2 linked regions of the Xenopus tropicalis genome follow. The protein of the gene in region 2 interacts with the protein of the main gene of each other region in a pairwise test. Links are inferred from orthologs where the notes say so. Each region holds a gene or a part of one and is shown on either strand. Other genes may lie near its edges.

Evidence for each region.
Region 1: the proteins of chn1 (region 2) and hemk1 interact in binary tests that used the Homo sapiens proteins (3 or more experiments, as listed by UniProt). The two-hybrid records come from large-scale screens. The link is inferred for Xenopus tropicalis from reciprocal best matches to the Homo sapiens genes CHN1 and HEMK1.

Annotation. Positions count from the first base shown.
Region 1 is NC_030680.2:127,607,237-127,619,543, reverse strand, and holds part of hemk1 (MTRF1L release factor glutamine methyltransferase), read left to right. Parts: intron 1-1,704; 5' UTR 1,705-1,713; coding exon 1,714-1,914; intron 1,915-3,721; coding exon 3,722-3,813; intron 3,814-7,119; coding exon 7,120-7,213; intron 7,214-7,584; coding exon 7,585-7,707; intron 7,708-8,444; coding exon 8,445-8,509; intron 8,510-11,255; coding exon 11,256-11,305; intron 11,306-11,425; coding exon 11,426-11,531; intron 11,532-11,609; coding exon 11,610-11,705; intron 11,706-11,808; coding exon 11,809-11,922; intron 11,923-12,307. UniProt on the Homo sapiens protein: N5-glutamine methyltransferase responsible for the methylation of the glutamine residue in the universally conserved GGQ motif of the mitochondrial translation release factors MTRF1, MTRF1L, MRPL58/ICT1 and MTRFR.
Region 2 is NC_030685.2:64,272,036-64,283,296, forward strand, and holds the end of chn1 (N-chimaerin), read right to left. Parts: coding exon 11,212-11,261; intron 10,330-11,211; coding exon 10,252-10,329; intron 9,341-10,251; coding exon 9,203-9,340; intron 7,974-9,202; coding exon 7,868-7,973; intron 6,768-7,867; coding exon 6,596-6,767; 3' UTR 5,965-6,595; downstream 1-5,964. UniProt on the Homo sapiens protein: GTPase-activating protein for p21-rac and a phorbol ester receptor. Involved in the assembly of neuronal locomotor circuits as a direct effector of EPHA4 in axon guidance.

The sequences.
Region 1 (12,307 bases), on a different chromosome or scaffold from region 2:
TTACAAGTGCGTACATAAACACCTACGCCTGATGTTGGCTGCCAATAAACTGGCCCATTGGAAAGGTCAGTGACGGGTGTTCTGTTCCTCCAGGGGTGCCCCCAGAGGTAAATTACTTTATTTTTCTGGGAAGGTACTATTGCATGTTACCAACCTGTTGCACACTATACAGTTACTGGCATTCTATACTGTACCTGTGAGTATATCCTGTTATATAGTGTTATATTCCATTTTTAAGTAGCATTGACTGAGAGCATCAGCTTTACTTTTATTTTTGTTACCTAAAGGCAATAACATCAAGGGCTTTCTATATTTACCATGTTCCTATATGGGTTTGCTCAAGGGATTCTATTACCGTTTAAATAAGCTTCTGTCAGGCCAGTGGCATATTTGATTACCAAGGTATACGCAGCAAAATCCAAGGGGCTCCCAAGACCCTTCCCCATTAGCAACCAGTTTCCATTCTGGTATTGCTCACTGCATTTCCAAGTTAAAGTCAAGCAACAATTCTGACATCTATGTTCTTGAACAGCACCCATATAATAATAATAATAATGCAGTGTAATGTAGGTTACCATTCACCAGAGTGGGACGTCGTTTCCATTTGTCCTTGGCTGACTCCTTTTCCACTTGGCCCAATCAATATCATTGGAGTTCCAGAACGGCATATTGAGTTTGGAATAGCTGATTACTCCATTTAAATCTGGAGTACAATTTAGGCCAAGCTAAAGTTGGTGTAAGTTTTTCTGGTGTTAAAGGATAAGAAAACCTTTAAAATAAGTTGTAAAATGATGAGTGTGCTGTTCTTAGCACTATTGCAATTTACATAAAAAATTTTATTCCAAGATATTAAGGGTTAAAAGTACTGTTACTATAAAACATTGTTACAACAGCGCCACCTGCTGGTCACTTTCCAAACATCAAGTAGTGTGGAGGAAGTTTTCAGGAGAAAGAAAGAGGAAAAGAGGGATGTTCTTCTGTTTAGGAAAAAACATTAGAAACCTCAGATAACTTTTCTCCTATGTTTCCTAACCAGAAGAACATCAGACCAGCCCTCTTTCTTTCTCCTGACAACTCCCTCGTCAACGTCCTTGACTACATTATGACTGGAAAGCAGATGGCGCTGTTGTAACAAAATGCATTTATATTAACCGTATGTTTAACCCTTCCTTGGAATAAAAAAAAATAAATCTAAATTCCTAAGTATAGCACTCTCATCAATTTTACATCAACATTTTGGTTTATGTATCTTTTAATTAAATTCAGTGAGAGTTAAATTGGCAAAATTGCTTTACTCCAACTTTTTGGCAAAAGTAAATGTAAATAATTTTCAAATAAAATAAAAAACATTTTGGCATAGGGTGGCATTACAAAATCGTCATTTGAAGATTCTCTAGTGTAAATGCAAATTTAATGTCAAATATGTTTTAATGCCCACTTTTGCCCCCCCATCAGCTGTGCCCTAAATTGGATTGATTTAATGCTATACAGTGGACCAACGGACTGTTGATTTGATCAGTAAAGTCAGCATTGGTACCATATGGGTATAAGGCAGAAAAAATGCATCATCTTTTTTCCCCCTATAACAATATCAGCTACACCCCAGGCTTTACCACACTGCTAATCAGAACTTATATCTACAGCTGATACGGATATGTTCAACTTGAACGCCCTTCTTAACTGCACTTTTCTGTGGTTTTTCAGGCACAAATCATGTACTTGCAAACTCTCCTCTTACGCAGACTTCTCCAAAGTGTCAGTCCCACTTGGCTGCCATGTCGATGGCTGGGTGGTGGTGAAATGAGTCCAAGCAAGCTTGTTCGTCACTGGCAGAGCATATTTCATGATCATGGAGTGCCGGAGCCTCAGGAATCCAGTGAGATACTTATAGCACATGCCCTGGGATCCAAAACCGTGAGTTGGACAGTCAGACATGCACGTCCCTAAGCATCAGCATGAGTTTCTATATCTGCTAAAGCAAAGCTAACACTGAGCTAAGAAACTCCAAATGAATCCTCTGTATTACCAGTCACTCATTCTAATAGCTTCCTTAAAGTGTTTTTAAAGGGTTAATATACTTTCCATTTAAAGGCTAGCTATTAACAAAGAATTAGGCTTCATATATTGTTTCTTAATTTACCAGCTAGCAATGAAGACCTGTGCCTCCATAGATAGGCCCAACATTTTTTACATATCTTTTTTTTCTATTGAGGCACAGCAAATGCACAGCCTGCTTTACGCTAATGTATATCAGCAGTATGGAGGGAGTTATGCTTAGTATCCGGTGAAGAAAATGCATTTTTTTTCTATGTATTGTATATAATTACTTTAAATAATAAGAAAGGGTCAGTGTTACTAATCAGTGCAGAAGCAAACACTTATTTTGAACTGTGCTGCAGGGATTATGATTAATTGTTCCAATGCACACTGGTGACTGCACGGATTTCTCTGCAGCTGTGCTTTGCACATCTGAACTAATTCCAATAAGCCCTGCGGCATGTGACTTACACAGGTGACTGGTTTAGAACTATAGAATGCCAAATTATTCCATTTAAAGTGAACACCAAGTATTTATGTTGCACAGCCAATTCAGTATAAATCTGCACACCACATTGCTGCACAGAAACCAGTACATATATGGGACCTGTTATCCAAAATGCTCGGGACCTGGGGTTTTCTGGATAAGGGATCTTTCCATACTTTGGATCTCCATGCCTTAAGTCTACTAAAAATTGTTTTAACTTTAAATAAACCCAGCAGAATTGTCTTGCTTCCAGTAAGGATTAATTATATCTTAGTTGGGATCAAAATTACTTGATGAAAATGGAGTCTATGCGGGATGGCCTTTTTTCTGGATAATTTACAGATAATGGATTACGTCCCTGTACAGCCTTCAGCAACCAGCTGAACTCAGATAACAGATAAGTGGAATTAATAGGGAGAAATTTCAAATAAACCAGCCCAAAACCCATATATACAATATAATATACATATTTTTTTTTTATAAAGCACATATGGCACATTCTTGTTTTATAGGCAATTTGTCTCTTTTAAAATTAAACTTTTATAAAACATAGAAAATTATTTATTTTCCTGAGGGTGCTTGAATTAACATTTTGTCCTGCAGTTTCCCAGTATTTCATTTCAGCTTCTATGTGACTGGGGTCCCAGTTGTCCTAGCAACCAGGCACTGGATTGGAAGCCAGACTGGAAGATGAGTAGGAGAGGGTCTCTACAGACACAGTTGCAAAGAATCCGTTTCTGAATTTGAGCTCATACTGGGTAGCTGATTACCAGCCAGTCCTAATGAATGCTGCAGACTTTATTGCTTTCTAGCAGCTGAAGAAATCAATAATTAACCATGGAGTTTGTGTTTTTCAGGGCAATCCGTTTTAAACTGAAAAAAATTAAAATCAGATACCCATAAAATCCACATGCAGCAAGGCTAGTGATTAGGTTAAATGTGAGGTTGCATTGCTCTATAAGCTGCTTTGTAGAATACCATATCTCTTGCTACAGATATATATAAAATTTATTTTGTACTTCTGACATTTGCACACACTGAGCATGTGACCCTTGGGCAGGTACATTGTGGCCCCTACCGAATAACCAGTCAGCGAGTTTGTTTGCATGTATTCCATGCCTCCTTATGCTCTCTTTTGGAATGCTTCATGAACAGTATTTCTTTGTAAATGGTTTGTATTTACTCTCTTTCTTGCAGTTTCCAAGTCTCCCTCCTTCAGTTGCTCACACTTCTGTCTCTGTAGCTCAACTACGGCACATAGAGAGCATGGCCCAGCAGCGTTTAAAGAGGTAGGGAAAGACTCAATTGCAGAGTGACACATGACCACGTAACACTTTTTTACCAGGGGAACAGTAACTGTAACTGTTTCCTAAATCAAAATTGTGTAATGCCTTAAGCTGGCCATACACGCACACCATTGGTATTGTACAAAACGAGGTGCGTGTATGGAAGATCGACAAGACGACCAATATCGCAAAGGCAGCGGATATCTGTTGACCGGCCGGGTTAAAAGATTTTGATTGGGCGTCATTGAAGGTGCTGAATCAGAAGGTGGAGGTAGAATTCCTATTGTTTCTTCCTCCACATCTGACAATTCAGCCCTGAATGTCAGTGGGGGACATGATGGTCACAGGAAAGATCAGAATTGCTACGTGTATGGCCACGTTTAGGCAACCGTTTTCTCTGCCCCCAACAATACAATACATTTATAATGCTATGGGGGTCACTATAACATATTATTTCCATTTATATAGCTAACACATTTCCGCAGCGCTGTACAGAGATTATACATCATTCACACCAGTCCCTGCTTACAATCTAAGTTCCCTATCACATTTACGCACATTATGGTCCATTTAGTCAGAAGCCAATTAACCTGCCTGTATGTTTTGGATACTGGAGTACCCTGAGGAAACCCACACAGACATGGGGAGAACATAAACTCCTTGCAGATAGTGCCCTGCCTGGGATTGAAATTAGGACCCCAGCGCTGCAAGGCAGGCATGCTACTCACTGAGCCACAGGTCTGTTCAGAACTTAGATTGCACGATCTGTTGGGGAGGGTCTTCCTTTCTCTTTTGTTTCTTAATGCTTGGTACTAGGGAGCAAATTTAAAAAAAAAATAAAAAATTAACTCTTAGTAAAATTTACAGAATATTTATAAACCAGCTCCTAAGCCTTGAATGTAATTTACAGTGGAGGAAATAATTATTTGACCCCTCACTGATTTTGTAAGTTTGTCCAATGACAAAGAAATGAAAAGTCTCAGAACAGTATCATTTCAATGGTAGGTTTATTTTAACAGTGGCAGATAGCACATCAAAAGGAAAATCGAAAAAATAACTTTAAATAAAAGATAGCAACTGATTTGCATTTCATTGAGTGAAATAAGTTTTTGAACCCCTACCAACCATTAAGAGTTCTGGCTCCCACAGAGTGGTTAGACACTTCTACTCAATTAGTCAACCTCATTAAGGACACCTGTCTTAACTAGTCACCTGTATAAAAGACACCTGTCCACAGAATCAATCAATCAAGCAGACTCCAAACTCTTCAACATGGGAAAGACCAAAGAGCTGTCCAAGGATGTCAGAGACAAAATTGTAGACCTGCACAAGGCTGGAATGGGCTACAAAACCATTAGCAAGAAGCTGGGAGAGAAGGTGACAACTGTTGGTGCGATTGTTCGAAAATGGAAGGAGCACAAAATGACCATCAATCGACCTCGCTCTGGGGCTCCACGCAAGATCTCACCTCGTGGGGTGTCAATGATTCTGAGAAAGGTGAAAAAGCATCCTAGAACTACACGGGAGGAGTTAGTTAATGACCTCAAATTAGCAGGGACCACAGTCACCAAGAAAACCATTGGAAACACATTACACCGCAATGGATTAAAATCCTGCAGGGCTCGCAAGGTCCCCCTGCTCAAGAAGGCACATGTGCAGGCCCATCTGAAGTTTGCCAATGAACACCTGAATGATTCTGTGAGTGACTGGGAGAAGGTGCTGTGGTCTGATGAGACCAAAATAGAGCTCTTTGGCATTAACTCAACTCGCTGTGTTTGGAGGAAGAAAAATGCTGCCTATGACCCCAAAACACCGTCCCCACTGTCAAGCATGGGGGTGGAAACATTTTGCTTTGGGGGTGTTTTTCTGCTAAGGGCACAGGACAACTTATTCGCATTAACGGGAAAATGGACGGAGCCATGTATCGTGAAATCCTGAACGACAACCTCCTTCCCTCTGCCAGGAAACTGAAAATGGGTCGTGGATGGGTGTTCCAGCACGACAATGACCCAAAACATACAGCAAAGGCAACAAAGGAGTGGCTCAAGAAGAAGCACATTAAGGTCATGGAGTGGCCTAGTCAGTCTCCGGACCTTAATCCAATAGAAAACCTATGGAGGGAGCTCAAGCTCAGAGTTGCACAGAGACAGCCTCGAAACCTTAGGGATTTAGAGATGATCTGCAAAGAGGAGTGGGACCAACATTCCTCCTAAAATGTGTGCAAACTTGGTCATCAATTACAAGAAACGTTTGACCTCTGTGCTTGCAAACAAGGGTTTTTCCACTAAGTATTAAGTCTTTTTTTGTTAGAGGGTTCAAAAACTTATTTCACTCAATGAAATGCAAATCAGTTGCTATCTTTTATTTAAAGTTATTTTTTCGATTTTCCTTTTGATGTGCTATCTGCCACTGTTAAAATAAACCTACCATTGAAATGATACTGTTCTGAGACTTTTCATTTCTTTGTCATTGGACAAACTTACAAAATCAGTGAGGGGTCAAATAATTATTTCCTCCACTGTATGTTCCTTTGTTGTATCTTCCCTATTGATCTATTAATTATTATATATTGTTGAATGCACAGAGTTGTGTGTTCAAGTAACCGTATATAAATAGGTGTATACATACATAATGGCAACTGCTCCATCCAAAATGTGGCGGGCTCTTAAGCAACTAACTAGATTGGTTGCTTGCACTTGGTTACTGCACTGAGGCAGTTTTGCCTTGTGTTGCCTCTTCTTCAGCCATATGAAATGATCTCTTCTGTATTAGTGTTACAGAAACCATGTGTCTTATACAGTAGCATAGTATAAGAATTAGTTGTTATGGTAGCCATGCACTCTGCAGGGAGTCTAATTTGGGGACTAACAGGCAATCCAACTTGTTTTTGATGTGCAATTAATTTTCATGCACCCCCACAGATGCGTATGTTAATTGACGTCATTGTGCCCTTTGGGTCTCTACCCAAGGGAGTGGATATCAATCCGCAAATGGTTTACATAAATTTTTCCTGCATTCAGCGTAAATATATAATCCCCCTAGGTATCATATGTAAGAAGCAAGTAGAAACGTCTTTAGGTATGTACCCTAAAGCATTGCTTGCTTGGCACAGTTTTCTGAAATTGTTAATGTTATAAGGTAGACTCACAGGAGACCTAGGCGCACACGTCCTAAACCATCAGCATGGGAATTGGATTATCCAAATATTGCTTATTTAGAAGATTCCTATTTTAAACACTGGCCGTACATCAGCATGCATTTGCTTACATCATTGTTGGCTCATTTTTATTTCTGATCATTCCTTTCCAGGGTCCCTATTCAGTACGTTATTGGGGAGTGGGATTTCTTGGATATAACTTTACAAATGAGACCTCCTGTATTCATTCCAAGGCCTGAGACAGAGGTATGAAAGCACGATGCCATTATAACCTTATGTTTAAAGTACATGAATATTTAGTGAGACTTCCTGTTAATGTTATAGAAAGGGTATTGAGGATAATTCAGTAGAAAAAGATAATTGGAATATGATACATTAAATTGAAACCATTGTAACAGCAGAGCCCTGAAATTACTTCAACCTAAAGGGACAAATAGGCAGCCGTGTGTTCTCTGTAACACAGACATATGGCACCCCAAGCCATACACACACAGTGCTTCTTTAGTTTATATTTACAGTGCACATTTATGTCTATAAATACTGAATCAATTACAAGACCAAAGATATATAGTCCCTCCTACATAACAGTGAACTGACTTTTAAGCCTTTTGTTTCAGGAACTGGTCGGCCTTGTCCTGGGAGCAAGCAGAAGGTTGCAGTGTTCCGCAGAGCCTCTAGTTCTGGAGGTGGGATGTGGTTCAGGGGCTGTGTCTTTGTCGTTACTACAGAGACTTCCTCAGGTAACAAAGTGTGGTTGAGCTCTGGATCTTGTAAAGCTTACATTTGCTAAAAATGAAGGACTTTAGATAGTCCTGTCTAGGGAGATAGTAGACATGTCTTGAGTTTTACATTTATGTTCCCTATGGATACTCTTCTCAGTGCTTTGAACATGGGGAATTCCATAAGAAAGCTACAGTGGTTTCCAGATGTTTTTTTGCCCCATTTGAGGGGCAGTATCTGCTCAGAGCTTCTTCTAACAAGGATATAGATATATGAGAAGGTTACAGGTATATATATATATATATATATATATATATATATATATATAGTTGTGTCAGTCATCCTGCTATAGCTTATAGGAAAAAGGGCTGATCTAATGTTCTTCTGCTTAGGAAAGACAATAGAAACCTCAGACAACTTCCTAACCAGAAGAACATCCCTCTTTCTCTGGACAACTTCCTCAACTACTTCATGTTTGGAAAGTGACCAGCAGGTGTCGATGTTGTAACAAAATGTATTCATATTAACAGTCCTTTTAACCCTTAATATCTTGAAATTAAAAAAAAAAAAATATGTAAAGATGCACTCTCATAATTTTACATCAGCTTATTTGTAAAGGTTTACTTATCCTTTAAGGCTGGTGGTAGTGGCAGTAGCTTCAGGTTTCCTCTGCATCATTCATGTGTCTTTACATGGATTGGCTTTTTCCATGAAACTGTGTGTCCATTTTTGCCTAAAAATCTTCTCCTGTTTGCAGGCTCGCATAACAGCAATTGATAAAACTAAAGCAGCTGTCAAACTGACTGAGGACAATGCAGTAAGGTAAGAGTTAAAGCAGCTGTAGTAAACTTTTATAAAAAAATAAAAACCTATCAGTATTTACATAAAACTGGGATGACAGAGTATGTCAAAGACAGAAGCTACAGTGTACTGGGAAAAGAATGAGGGACTGGAACAACTGCAGGGAGTGGTGATGTCTAGCAGTGGGTTTAGGAGTGCTTACCACTTAACAGGAAGCATCTAGGCCAAGTAATGAAGAACTATGGAAGTTTTATGGAGCATTAGAAGGATTAACATTCAATGTACAGGTATAATACCCATTATCCCGAATGCTCGGGACCTGGGGTTTTCCGGATAAGGGATCTTTCTGTAATTTGGATCTCCATAATTTAAGTCTGCTAAAAATCTTTTAAATATTGAATAAACCCAATAGGATGGTTTAGCCTTCAATAAGGATTAATTAGTTGGGATCAAGTACAAGGTACTGTTTTATTATTACAGGGGAAAAAAATAGAATTATATGCTTATAATTGAGTCTATGGAAGATGACCTTTCAGTAATTTGGAACTTTCTGGATAACGGGTTTCCGGATAAGGGATCCCATACCTGTATTACCTTTATTATTTTTGTTACACTTGCTATGCATCTCCCAGAGCTTTGTACAATGAAAAAAGAAATGGTTTCCTGTAATTATGGGACATCCCTGCTTATTAAAGGGGAAACACAAGCAGGGACAGGTGAAACAAAAGGAATGTTAGGGAACAGCTGAAATTGTACTTTTGTAAATAGCATGCAAAGTGCTGCAGAGAGCACATCCACAAAGGGTTCAGTAACTTTCTACTGCATTATTATTACCTTGTGCCTTATACATAAGCGGGGGGGAAAGCGTGTAAAGCAGTCCTCCAAGAAAATAAAGACTATGGCATACTGCATTGCTGCACTGAGCCGCACCATCTCAGTACTGCCCAGCACGTGGCGAAGTGAAATGGTGATGGTGCCACAATCATGGACAGAAAGATTTAGTGTTATAGGTCTAGTGGTTTTTTTTGGAGTTTGCATAAACCTTAAGAGGTGGGAGTGAGTAACAGAGAAAGTGTGCTGCTCTCCAGTATTTTAGTTTTTTGAGAGGAAGAATGTTGTTCTGCATGAGATGAGTAGCATAGGTGCAAATTAAGACTGTATTTAGCCGTTAGACAGCTTTTATAATATGCTAGGAATTATCTCGCACACAAAGGTTATAGCCCTGGGCCTTGGTTACCACTAAGGAGGATCTCGTAGAATTGTCTCACACATTTTTTCTAGCGTTTTGTCTTTGCGTTTGTAACCCTTGCCAAAAATGCAGTTAAAAAACACTAGAAATTCCCCCTTGTGCCAATACTTTACAAAGACGAGACTGTTACGGCTCATTTAAAAAATGGGTGGAAGGTAAAGTGCAAAGTACAGAAAATTGGTGCATCTCATTATGTATTTGGAGCTGCTTATACTTGAAATCGATGCACAGAGGAGTCATTTTTATTATTGTCCTTTTATTTGTATAGCACTGATACAGTTATTCATTTATAACTTATTGAACTTGTGTAAACAAGAGGTATTCTGTTTATGGCCAGGTGGGTTAGACAAGTTTGCCTGCTCTCACACTTGTATCTACCCTTAATGAATTTGGTCATTAATAAGGAGGCATGGATAGGGGCATCTGGGCTCTGGTTAGACTTTAAATCAGGATTTATATTATTGTTTAAGGCTAATGTCACACGGGGCTGATTCTCGACTTGTGGATAAACGCAGGCCAAAAATCCGCCTTCCCCTGTGCCTGCACCCAGAGCCATTACATTTAGCCTTGTTGCAGGCACACAGAGTGGATTTCAGCACCGAGACGCAGTGAAAATGTTATTTGTGTGCTAAAAAAAAAAATTTCTATACAAACTTAAGCCAAATTAAACCCTTAACATATTTTTTTTCCCAACATTTTTAGCATGGTGAAACATTTCGGTGTAAAAAATATCTGTTAAAAAGGTTTGACAATTGTCGATAGTGGCTGACATTTTTGTGAATTCCCCCCTATATGTTTTAGATTAATTTCTTCTCCCAAGATTATTCCTTCAAGGCTAATCAGGTGTTACATTTCCAAAGCATCTTTTCTGACTGCACATACTTACAGTTTGGGGTTTTCATATGATCCAACTTTGCCTTTCTCTCTTCTCTATGGGAGGAAGCACTTTCTGCTTTTCCTCTTTTTACACTGCTATATTTTTTTAATTACTAATGGACATAGGTTTCCTACTCTCCACATAAAATAAGTTAAGTTATTCACCAAGCAAAACTGTGTAGCCAGTGAACGTAGCTAACCAAAAGGCTAAGCCGAGAGGCTCTCCAGCAGTGAGAGAGGTAGGGGGAGTATAATCCTTTAATGAGCAGCATGTGGCAATATTCCTGGTGAGAGGAATGCAGATGTAAAGGAAGGAGTTCTAGGAACCAGTTCTGTGGATCAAGTTAAGTACTTCTAAGAATGAACCATATGGAGAAATAAAAAAGGCTAGTAGAGAACAGAGGAAGTGGCTTTGTGGAGCAATAAGCGCAATAATCTATAGTAAGCCGCTGTATGAAATAGCAGAATATTTTTTATTGAGCAATAGGAAGCATGGAAGGGACAAGGTGTGATAATGTAATGAGAAGGAGTTCCAGGCAATGGTTTATGAGGTTTCTGGCGAATTCTGGGGAGGAAATGAGTATAGAAAAAAAAATATTGGAAATGTTTGCTGAAGCCTAACTCTTTCATTTCTGTCTCTAGTTTGGGCCTCCAAAACCAAATCCAAGTTCTGCTGCTTGATATTTTAGCAGGTAAAACATTTGTGTCTTTCTGTCCTCTTCTCCATCATGTTTTTCCCACCATACATTGTGACTCTGTTCTTCCCACCATAACAATTGGTATGTGGGGTTTCTTACAATCTTCTTCTTCAGATCCACCAGATCCTCTCCTCATGTGGGGCCCTGTGGATGTTTTGGTCAGCAATCCCCCTTACATATCCACATCTGATATCTCTCAACTTGATCCAGAGATTGTTAAGTAAGTATTGTACAGTCTCCTGGCCAGAACACCAGGCTCCGCACAGTCTGCTGGTTACACTCCATTTCTCCCTTTCAGATATGAGGACCATGCAGCATTAGATGGGGGTCCTGATGGCATGGATGTAATAAGGGGAATACTGTCTTTCGCACCTCGGCTTCTGAAGCCTGGTGGGTATGTAGTTTTCATTCAAGTCTGGGCTGAAGCTTTTCACTTTGTGTAAGAACACGTGTATGGCCCAGCAGTTCCCTCATGCTGTCTCCCTCTGTTTTAACAGGGATATTTTTCTAGAGGTTGATCCCAGTCACCCAGAGAGAATAAAGCTATGGATTCAAGACCACACTGATACGCACCTTCAGTACATTAGTACTGTACAAGACTTCTGTGGCAGGTACTGCAGTGCTCCAATCTGTTTTTCATGAGTACCTGGGCACTATTACTCCCTTCAAGCTTTATTATTACTTTCTATCTTACCTGTATGCAGTTATACTTTACAGGAGGCATGCAGGATTAACTAATGAATTGTATTCTTCAATATTTAGATGAGTACAATTCATTGGCACAGTATTGTGTTTCACACAATATTCCTCTTTAGAACAGTGGTTTCAGAGTTTCTTAGTTAAATTCCCCTGTTTACAGGTACAAATTGGACAAGGCTATGCAGCTGTAATAAGAAGGCCACAGATATATGAAACCATAGCTTAAACATCACCCTGAAATCATACTTGTGATGTCCAAGACAGCAAATCCACCATCATTGTACTTCCTACATCTGT
Region 2 (11,261 bases):
GCCCGTGTCTAGAAGACATCAGCCTTACCAGGGGTAGCTACCTTTGGCACTTCACCACTGTCCCCAGTCTCAGTGGGATCTCCTGTCCCCACCTGGCTCAGCAATCCGGCACTCCCTGCGGTGCCCCTTTGCTATTCCACCAGGAATTTTACTGGCAGACTCCTAGCTGAAGCTCAACAAGCCCTCTTGAAGTCTACCCCTATCCGCTTGGGTCCCTATTCTGTGGATGGAAACACTGTTTCCCTCTACTCTCCTGGTTGGGGCAATAGGCGGCCCATGCTACATAACCCTCAGACATCTAGTGCCTGCTCCACTTTCAGCTGCCCTGTTCTATCCTTTCCTTACCCTATAGGCAGGTTCCAATTCCTAACTGTGGATATAAGTGGATATTTCTATAGAGGAAGAGATAGAGTTTCTTTCCAGGAAAGCCTGAAGACTAAGGGGCTGATTTACTAATCCACGAGTCTGAATCCCGAATGAGAAAAAATCGGATTGGAAACGAACATTTTGCGATTTTTTCGTAAATTGTTGCGACTTTTTCGTAGCCAACGGCCAGGTTGGAGCTGCAGAGTGCCATTGAGCCCTATGGGAGACTTTCCTTGGGCCGGGTTGGAGCTGCAGAGTGCCATTGAACCCCATAGGGCTCAATGGCACTCTGCAGCTCCAACCCGGCCCAAGGAAAGTCTCCCATAGGGCTCAATGGCACTCTGCAGCTCCAACCTGGCCCAAGGAAAGTCTCCCATAGGGCTCAATGGCACTCTGCAGCTCCAACCCGGCCCAAGGAAAGTCTCCCATAGGGCTCAATGGCACTCTGCAGCTCCAACCCGGCCCAAGGAAAGTCTCCCATAGGGCTCAATGGCACTCTGCAGCTCCAACCCAGCCCAAGGAAAGTCTCCCATAGGGCTCAATGGCACTCTGCAGCTCCAACCCGGCCCAAGGAAAGTCTCCCATAGGGGTCAATGGCACTCTGCAGCTCCAACCTGGCCCAAGGAAAGTCTCCCATAGGGCTCAATGGCACTCTGCAGCTCCAACCTGGCCCAAGGAAAGTCTGAAACTGAAGCTTGAATGAATCCGAAACTTTCGTACTCGACGCGACGGCTACAAAAAAGTCGCTACAATTTACAAGCAAGTAGTAATGGCTACGAAAAAGTTGCGACAATTTACGAGCAATTCGTAATGGCTACGAAAAAGTTGCGACAATTTACAAGCAATTTACGAGGCTTTGAAAATATAAAACTGGCATTATTACCAGTAAGAGAAAGTTTTCTTAGTCGTCATCTGCTGAATGACAGGGAGGTGTTTTTATTGGGACCCTCATTGAAAATACTCACCACACCCAGCAGAGCATCACACAAGCGCCGACAGAAGCACCAGACTGGGCACAAACATCTTCTGCCTGAAAGGGACTCACAGATCATCAACCAAGGGGATTTGTTGAGAGTGCTAATCAGTTTCTAAAGCATGTCTCACATACTATGTCAGTGACCCCTGACGTATAACATTACAAATATATGAGTAATAAAACAGTTCCAATGATTTGTGCATCATACATGACTGCCCCAGGACTGGTATTTGCTCGCCCAGACAGTAAAAATTATTCATTAGACCAATGTCATTAGTAGCAAAGAAAGATAAGGCAGGAGTAACTAAAACTCTAGGTTTTAGACGTGCAGACTTTGCCAGTATAGGGACATCTCCTTAATGTATCAACTCGGAAAGGCTTAGCAAGTCAGGTCAGTATATTCCCCTTGGAAGCAAGGAAAGGCATCACAAAGCCAAACCTTTATAATTGGATAAAAGTGTTAGTGTCGAGGTTGGTAAAAAAAAAACGTTGTAAGATTATTAATATAACTTTACAACGTGCTTTTAAAGCATTCAAGTTAGCTGGGACAGCAGAAACGTTCATCAGGTACAAGGAAGCAAATAAAGCATGCAAAAAAGCTATCAAGCAAGCTAAAATAGAGATGGAAAGGGGTATTACAAGGGGTAAGGGGTATTGAAAAAGGTATTTTAAAAAATCCAAAATTATTTCTTCAATATGCAAATAGTAAAGAATGAAACGACAAGGGGTGGGACCCTTATTATCTCGGGGTCAGTTGGTTGATGAGAACAAAGAAAAAGCAGAAATTCTGAATTCTTATTTTTCTTCCGGCTACACAACTGAGGAGCCAGCTAATGACGGTTTCCCTTTTAATAGACCCAATTCTAGTAATATAACTACTGATGCATGGGTCGCTCAGGAGGAAATTCAAAAGAGACTTGAACATGTAAAGGTAACAAAAGGTCCGGGACATAGGAATAAGGTTCAGGGTATTAAATGAGCTGAGCGCTGTGATTGCCAAACCCCTTTACTTAATTTTTCAGGATTCATTGAGGTTTGGCATGGTGACGAGAGACTGGCGGATTGCTAATGTGGTGCCGTTATTCAAAAAGGAATCCTGTTCTCAGCCTGAAAACTATAGGCCTGTTAGTCTGACACCAGTAGTAGGAAAGCTTCTGGAAGGGGTAATAAGGGATAGGGTACTTGAATACATTGCAAATCACAATATTCTAAGTTTGTGCCTGCATGGTTTTATACGTAACAAATCTTGCCAGACTAATTTAGTTGCCTTTTATGAGGAGGTGAGCAGGAACCTTAACGCTGGGATGGCAATGGATGTCATCTACTTGGACTTTGCTAAAGTGTTTGATACAGTACCTTTACAGAAAGTTAATGAGGGGCTAGGGGTGCCACTGGCCACTGCAAGGAGCAGAGGGAGCCGTAACCAAGTGAGGAGTCACCCAGACAAATGTTGAACACTCACGTGAAAGGTCACACAGAGAAAAGGTCTCTCAGAGTGGGGCACAGGGCAGAAAGGCTGCCTGACTGTGTGAGGAACTCCCAGAGGGGCTGGGGGTATTGCCTGCCACTGCAAGGAGCAGAGGGAGCCATGACCATGTGTTGAGTGGCTTGGTGGGAAGCCAAAGTGTGCCAGAAACTGGTGAGCTGGTATCTCAGGAGGGGAGAGACAGCAGGGCTGAGTGAGTAGCCCGAGTATTCACGAGTGTGAGAGTCACTTTGGATGTGTGAAAACCATTGGGGATGTCGAGAATCCCCAGGGAAAGGTTCCAGAGTGTGAGAATTACCCTGGAAGCCCTGAAGAAGGGACAAATCATAACCATGTTTGCTGATGAACTGTGACATGTTTATGTTGGGAGAAGTGTGCCCCAAATAAACATCCAACATTTTGCTCTAGTAGGTAACTAGCAGATATGTAATGAAGATAACTGAGGACAGAAATCAGAAGTCATTATAAACCTACCTGGGTGAAGACCCTGGTTTCCCAAGGTATTCAATGTAGCAGTTCTTCCACCTTCCTAACTGTCATCACAGCTGAGAATTTAAGTTAGGGGCCTCTCATATGGCCCAACTTAGATAAGTGAAAGCTGGCAGCATTGAGATCAAATAACTAAACATGAAGGTCCAAATTATAAAGATTAATCAACATTGCTAGTGGAAAGTATGATATTCCTCAGTTTCTTAAAATATGTGAAACTGAGGAATATCTGTAAATTGGTGTATGTGAATCAGTACTCATGCAAATGATTGTTGTGGAATTTCTTTAAAAGAAAAATAAAGTCAAAGTCACTTGGGGGTGCCAAAATGTTAGGCACCCCCAAGTGACTTTGACCGCCTACCTTTTACCCCGGGCTGGTGCCCCTGTGAGGAAGGAACAGCACCAGCCCGGGGTAGCTGCCGGCGCTTCCTTTTCCTGATTCGCTGCGCGCGCATGCGCAGTAGAGTGAAAAGCCGAACTTAAATGTTAAAGTCGGCTTTTCACTCTACTGCGCATGCGCCCACCGCTGGCACTCAGGAAAAGGAAGCGAGGAAGACGGAAGCGCTGCGCTCCAGGTGCCCCGGGCTGGTGCTGTTTTCTCCTAACAGGGGCACCAGCCCGGGGTACGAGGTAAGCGGTTAAAGTCACTTGGGGGTGCCTAACATTTTGGCACCCCCAAGTGACTTTGACTTTCGTTTCCCTTTAAGAGTACATGGACAATGGTTTAAGGGCAGCAACTCTGAAAGACCAAGTTTCAGCCCTATCAACTCTCCATGGAGTGGCCTGGGTGGCTATACAATTAGTAGCAGTATTTTGGACACTAAGGGGCTGATTTACTAACCCACGAATCCGACCCGAATTGGAAAAGTTCCGACTTGAAAACGAACAAAACTTAACGCTATGAAAAATGCGCAACTTTTCGCGTAAGTTTTAACGCTACGCAAAATGCGCAACTTTTTATGCAACTTTCGTAATGGATAGGAAAACTCGCGTTTTTACGCAAAAATCGTATTGGATCCGAAAAATTCGTAAAGAATCCGAAAAAATCGCAAAACATACGAAAAAATCGCAAAGTACCGATCATTACGAAAAAAACGCAATCGGACTCCATTCGACCCGTTCGTGGGTAAGTAAATCAGCCCCTAAGAATAAGAATTTGGAGCAGAAACGCTAATGTATACATTTTTGCAGAAAATGAGCTGTGTGCCATTAGCTAGTAGGAAAGGCTAGTAAAGAGTTAATCTCAAGCTGCAGGCATACCTTCAGTTGTCTCAATAGTGCCCTTAAAGGTGGCCATACACGGGCCGACTATAGCTGCCGATATCGGTCCCTTGGACCGATTCGGCAGCTAATCGGCCCGTGTATGGGGAGAGCAGATCGGCCTGGCCGACCGATATCTGGCCTGAAATTGGCCAGATCTCGATCGGCCAGGTTAGAAAATCTGGTCGGATCGGGGACCGCATCAACGAGCCGATCCGACTGCCCCATTGCCGCCCACATAATCCGATCGTCTGGCCCCAGGGCCAAACGATCGGATTATTATTTTTTTTACCTAAATGGTCCCCGATATCGCCCACCCGTAGGTGGGGATATCGGGGGAAGATCCGCTCGCTTGGCGACATCGCCAAGCGAGCGGATCTGCTGGTGTATGGCCAGCTTAAGTCCCATATTTCTCCTGTTCAGATGACCAGAAGCCAAACAGGAAGAAAAAACGCTGAGCTGTGTAAAGAAAGTTCCCATAATGCCTCACTCTTGCACAGACACCCAGACCAGTGTACATGCTTAGTTTGTAAGACTATGAGTCAGCGTCCTGCTGATTGGCTCAGATCCACATTCCTAAGGGGGGGAGGGAGTTCTTAGCATTCTTGAGGGAGGGGGGAGCAGGAGAGGGGAGAGAGCTGTGTGTCTCTGGCACAGGAAGTCAGTGCAGCGTTTCTGTGAGTGCTTATGGCTGTATTTACATAGACCTTTCTGATAAAGCTTACTTTTTAGCTTTCTTTCTCCTTTAAGGCCACACTACCAGAGTTGTAACTGCAGATCAGATGTTTAAGACCCACATTTTCATAGAAGTCTAAAGAGCAGCAGTGTTTAAATATTTTTTTAAAACATTTTCTCTAAACAAGATGCACTCTATGGCCAAAGGTATCCAGACATCTGCATGTTCAGTAATATGTAGTCAGTCCATTGTAGGTGCTGTTTCCTACCATTCAGCCAAAGAGATTTAGTGAGGATGGGCACTGATGTTGGGAATCAGGCTAAGGTGACAGTAGGCATTTCAGTTCATCCCACGGGTATTCATTTGGCTTGAGGTCAGGCCTCTGTACAGTTTAAACAAGTTCTACCACTCCTATCGCAACAAACCCAACTCTGAATGGACCTTGCTTTGTGAATGGGAGATTATTGTGCTGAAACAGGAAAGAATGCATTAAGCCTTCAGCGCAGTCAGGGTGGCCCACCAGGATACCAGGAGATAGCTACAAGATATACTAGAAGATCTTCCACTTCCACAAAGTTCTGCATTGCTATTTGCTCATTTCTAGAGGAAATGGAGACTATTTGGAGACATTTCCCAGACCCCCTGTGCTAAGTGTTGCTGCTATAACAGAACAAGCTTTGCTTAAAGCTAAATAAGACACAGAAGAAAAGGTTTCTAAAACCTAGATTTAATAAATTAATACATGCATGCTGGTTGAAAAATACAAAAATACAATTAAAAAAATAATAATCGTTGCCATTTTAATCACAAGCACCACACGGAAAGGGAATAAAACATTCACAACTCACAGGTTTCCTCTTCCAAACGATACAGAAACTTGGCAAAAAAGAAACAATCATCAAAGCAAGAACAGAAGTGAAATGAGCAAAAAAAGTCATTCATGAGATCAACTCAACGCTGTAATCTGATTGGGCAGAACAGAAAGGCCAAGTTACACGGGGGAGGAAGAAACATGCCGTATTACATTCACTACCCGCTTGGAAAGAGGCTTTTTTTTCCTAGATAGTTTTTGTTTTTCCAAGGAAATCCCCGACAAAAACGGAGAGAATCATGCAATCCTGTGGAAGTGGTTACACTGTAAACACAATGCAGTAATAGTAGAGGAGCTTCCCGATTTATACAATATACATCTGATTGCCACAACAAAAAGCCTGTCCTTTCTGCACGCTGTACACATAGGAAATTAGGGACTCGCCTGGAAACAAACTGCTCGCTATGTTGCAAAACTATCCTTCATTTATTAACGTTATTCATCTCAAAAATGGTTTCTTCCTGATTATATTCAAAATAGAATGTCTTCGTTCTTGATCAGCATCTCCACCACGAGCCGCTGATAACGGATATCATTCAGTGCCGCCATGGCATCTTGTTCCGGGGCTCGCATGAGAGTTGGGCCGAACACAATACCAAGGTTCTCTGCACTCATTAAATTGTCCTTCTCATGTAGAGTCACCCTGTGAGGAGAGACAGTGCATGGGATCAGTGTGACCTATCCGAAGGGCATTCCTGTAATAGCAAATCCCACGCACCCCCTGCTGATAGTTTTGGCTTTTTAATTTCTCAGGGCCTGTCTCATTAATTAAAATGAATGTCACATGACGTGTAGCAAAGGCACAGATTCAGTTCAGTCCAATGGACGCCTGGAGGAACATTGCACAAGGGCAGGACAAACACAGACAAGTTTTAGCTTTTTCAGCCCATGATGCCTTATGGCTGACATTTTATTGGTGATATGATGTGTCACATTTTCATTTTAATTAGAGCAAGTCATTAATGTAATGTGGCTTTGAGTTACAAATTGCTACAACGATGGGAGAGATTTAGGCAGTCATAATACCCTGTAAAAGGACAGTAAACACCCCATTAACTGACAAAAAAGCTAACAAAATATATTAACTGGCTTATGACTGCAAAAACTTAAATTATCAGCTTCTTTTATATTCATAATGGCCTGTGGTTGGATGTGCCAATGGTGTCCTTGGTTTGTCACCTCCAGGGGGTTGTTGCAGCAGGAAACACACACCCAGACACTGCTACACAGCTACATGACTTCTCTCTATCAAATCTATATATATATTCCACTCATGATGAGCAGAAACAAATGTCATTCCAAGTGGGCAAGTACTATGGCCTTCCACTACTGTGTTGTAAATTTCAGGTGTAGGTGTGTGTGTGTGTGTGTGTATAACTGGCCACTAAATGAGTAGAGAAACTTGGAACCCTGGCTACAACTACAGCTATCAGGCAGAATCACACAAGAAAAATGCCTCTGTTTCTCTTATATGGTTCTGAATCAATAAAAGGCTGATAATGACAAGCTTCTGGCCAATTACAGGCTGCCTCTCTACATGCACAGACTGACACTGAGCTCACATCACACCCTGACTGGCAGATTGAGCTAATATCCCAGCTAATGCTCTGTGTGTGCCCATGGCTGTGATGCATGCGTGCCCCCTACAGTAACTGCCTGGCAGAATGGCAATATAACAGTGTATCATTACCATAGGGCTGTGTGAGTATAAACAGAACACACCTACAGTATAAGAGAACTTACCTTTTCAAATGGGCCATGAGATACCGTAGTGTTTCACAGTGAGCTGGAGGCAGCAGCTTCAAAGCGTCATGAAGGGTTTCTAGTTGTGCATCAGGGTCTGGAGCCTCTGGCAGAACAAACATACACAGAGATTACGTTGCATGAAAATAATAAGGAAGATGGTTATTCTAATGATAACCCTACTGTGTGTTGGGCCATGAATTACAAGCAATGCATAGATTGGGCAGGCTGGAGAACCTGGCTATCGGGTGTTCATGAAACCTTAGGAGCTTTTACCCATTATTCAGAAAGCTCTAAAATACAGTAACTAAGAAGCATTTAAAAAGTTGTTTTTTTTAGCCCTAAAGGAGAGCTAAATCCTAAAAGTAAATATGGCTAGAAAGAGCATAATTGATTTACTAAACTGACTGCACTAGCATCTCTATATTAGTAATTATATAGGTCTTTACAGTTGTCACATGAGCAATAAATCTTGGATACTATAAACTGATGCTACAGGTCTGATGATTAAATTCTGATGCAACTGCACTGGTTTCTAAACTGCCATTCAATGTGAATGAATTACTAATCAGCATTATATTGTGACATTTATATTCTGTTTATACAGTATATTGTGAGTGGGTCCCTAAGCTCAGTAAGTGACAGCAGCACAGAGCATGTGCAGTGAACCAGCAGAAAAGAAGATGGGGAGCTACTGGGGCATCTTTAGGGGCACAGATCTTGCCTGCTAAAGGGAATCACTATAATCACTTATATAATGATGTAAAATGATAGTATACCTATAGCAAATGCAAAGACATTATATAAGTGGTCAGATGTGATATTCCTATTCACCACTAGAGGGAGCACATTATGTGACTAATCAAGCCTGTGCTTTAAGGCCAAAAACTACTGTATAGACGTTATGTTTTGGCATAAAATACCTGTAGAACACTGATGCAGAAAGGCCAGGCATAACCCCATTTATTTTTGTATATGCCAGCACTAATATTGCTCTAGTCATGGGATTGCACAGACCACTCCCAGCCCCATATCCTCTCATGTTATCTACAGACATGCACTCTACAATCATTTATTATGTATATATTCATCTGATGTCAGAAACGCCATACTGCGAATGTGCTGACGTGGGACATGCAGAGCAAGTGGGTCATATGGAAGGTTTTATTAACTAAAGTGACATGGAAGGTTATAGTGAACATTGGATTGGCAAAGTACGCCCTGAGCCAAAATAGACATAATTGATAGGGTTAACTTAAAAGCATTGGAAATATGAATCTATATGAATATAAAAAACTGCTTTGCTAACAGCAGGCAGCTCTCATGTGTACTTACTTGCAGACTCTAGGAATTTCGGGTAGGCATCATATGTAATGATTGGGATTGGAAGTTCCCTGAAATATAGTTTCAGTGCACCGGTTATAATGTTGATGTCTTCATATACATTCACAGAAATATCAGCCTTCTCCCCATCTGTAGAAAGGAAATAGAGATGAAATTAATGCTTGCGGTGTATGGTGGAGTATCATGGTGGCTGAATGTCTGCAATTTGAAAGAAATTTTTATGTTGGCAAAAAAACAAAGGTTCCTTCAGGAACACAGAGAATTTAGTTTTATCGCCTATGTACCTTGTACTTACTTATACTAGAAGCTGGCTTAGTATAAATACATGTAATGCTTTTTGGCAGTGGTTGACAACACAGGGGAATTCTCAAGTTCTTCATAATTTATTAGGAATAAGAACTTCTACTTTGCAGCATTTGGGTTCTGAGCTCAGTTCCAGCCTGGGTGCTACCTGCAAGGGGTTTGTATGTTTGTCCTGGGCCAGCTTTGTATAAACAGTGATATAAAGGTATTGGGAGTAGCCTCTGCATCACTCTTGCCTACCTTTAGGCTGCTCCTATAGTAGCTAGAGCAAACAGGGAAGCATGGCTTCCAAATACACACCGTTTCAAACATTCCTCATTGAACATTACTTATATGTTGTGTTTGAAAACGTGTGCATTTGAAAGCTAAGGACAACTGTTAGCCCTAGCTGCAATAAGAGCAGGCTCAAGGAGCCCAGAAGACAGGACCTTTTCCCAATATGGAGGCTGCAATCCTTTACTCTGGGGGAATGTTTGAGGTCACTGTGCAGGCTACCCAAGTAATACAGATCATTTGGAGGGAGTGTTTGGGAGGGGCAGTAGAATTCTGCATTTGTTCAAGGTTAAAGGTTGACCTTCTGTTCATAAAGTCCATAGAGGCAGGCACTAATATAGTGGGGATCCAGGCCAGCTGAGTTTTCATGTCACTTTACATACAGTATTTGCATGGAAGCAAGGGAACACTTGCTGTTTGAGTAGAAATAATGATAGGCCAAAATAAAGTAAAGGTTCTCCTACCTCTGTCAAAAGCCATTTTGGCATCTTCAATTAGATCAGTAAAACCTGATACTCTGTACAATCCTTCTGACGAGAGACCTATAATAAAAGAATATCAGATGGGTGAAACAGCCATTCCATATCCAACTTGCTTATTATCCCACAGTAGAACTCTAATAGCTCATTATAGTGTAGCAGGGCCCTCAGCTTGCTGCTTAAAGGTTACCTTGACCTGTAGTCTCCTTCAGCTTTACCCTCCCTCTCGGTCCCCAGCTACACATCAAGCTATATGTGGCACCTTCCCCTGAGACTGCTGATGCAACGCACTGTATCATTTCCATTCAATAGGCAAGCGCATGGGTATTAAGGTCAAATTATATTGGACATCACTTGGCTAACCCAGAATAGAATCACTTGAGATTTTAAGCAATTAACTTGTTGGCAAATTTCATTTGCAATGTGCCTGTTTTATTTGCATGTGGGATCTTCCATTAGTCCTTCTGACTGACCCTGTTTAATAAATGGCCTACATGTGCACTCTTTCCCATTTTTAAAGGGGTAGTTCACCTTTAAGTTAACTTTTAGTATGTTATACATTGGCCAATTCTTAGCAGCTTTTCAACTGGCCTTTATTTCTTCTTTTTTTTGGCTTCCTCATCTGAATGATTCCAGCTTTAAATGGGGTCTCTGAAGCTGAACAACCCCTTTAATGTAAATTGCAAATTCTGCTCGACAGATCCCAGCTCCTTGGCCCTTTGCCTTGCCTAAAATAATATGCCAATATGCCCTTTGCTAGAGTATTGTAGTGGCTTGGCACAGATGTATTTTCTCTTGATGTTGTATTATAATAATTAAAGCCAAATGCTCTAGGCTGATATTGGATGCAAGGCCCCCCTTCCCCCATGCATGACATCAAAATATTAACTCCAATAATTCATCCTAGAACCAAGCAATAGCCCCAATGTATAAGACAAGTCTCACCTCTAGACTCTATTTCTCTTATACACATATCCACGACCATCGGCCTTTTC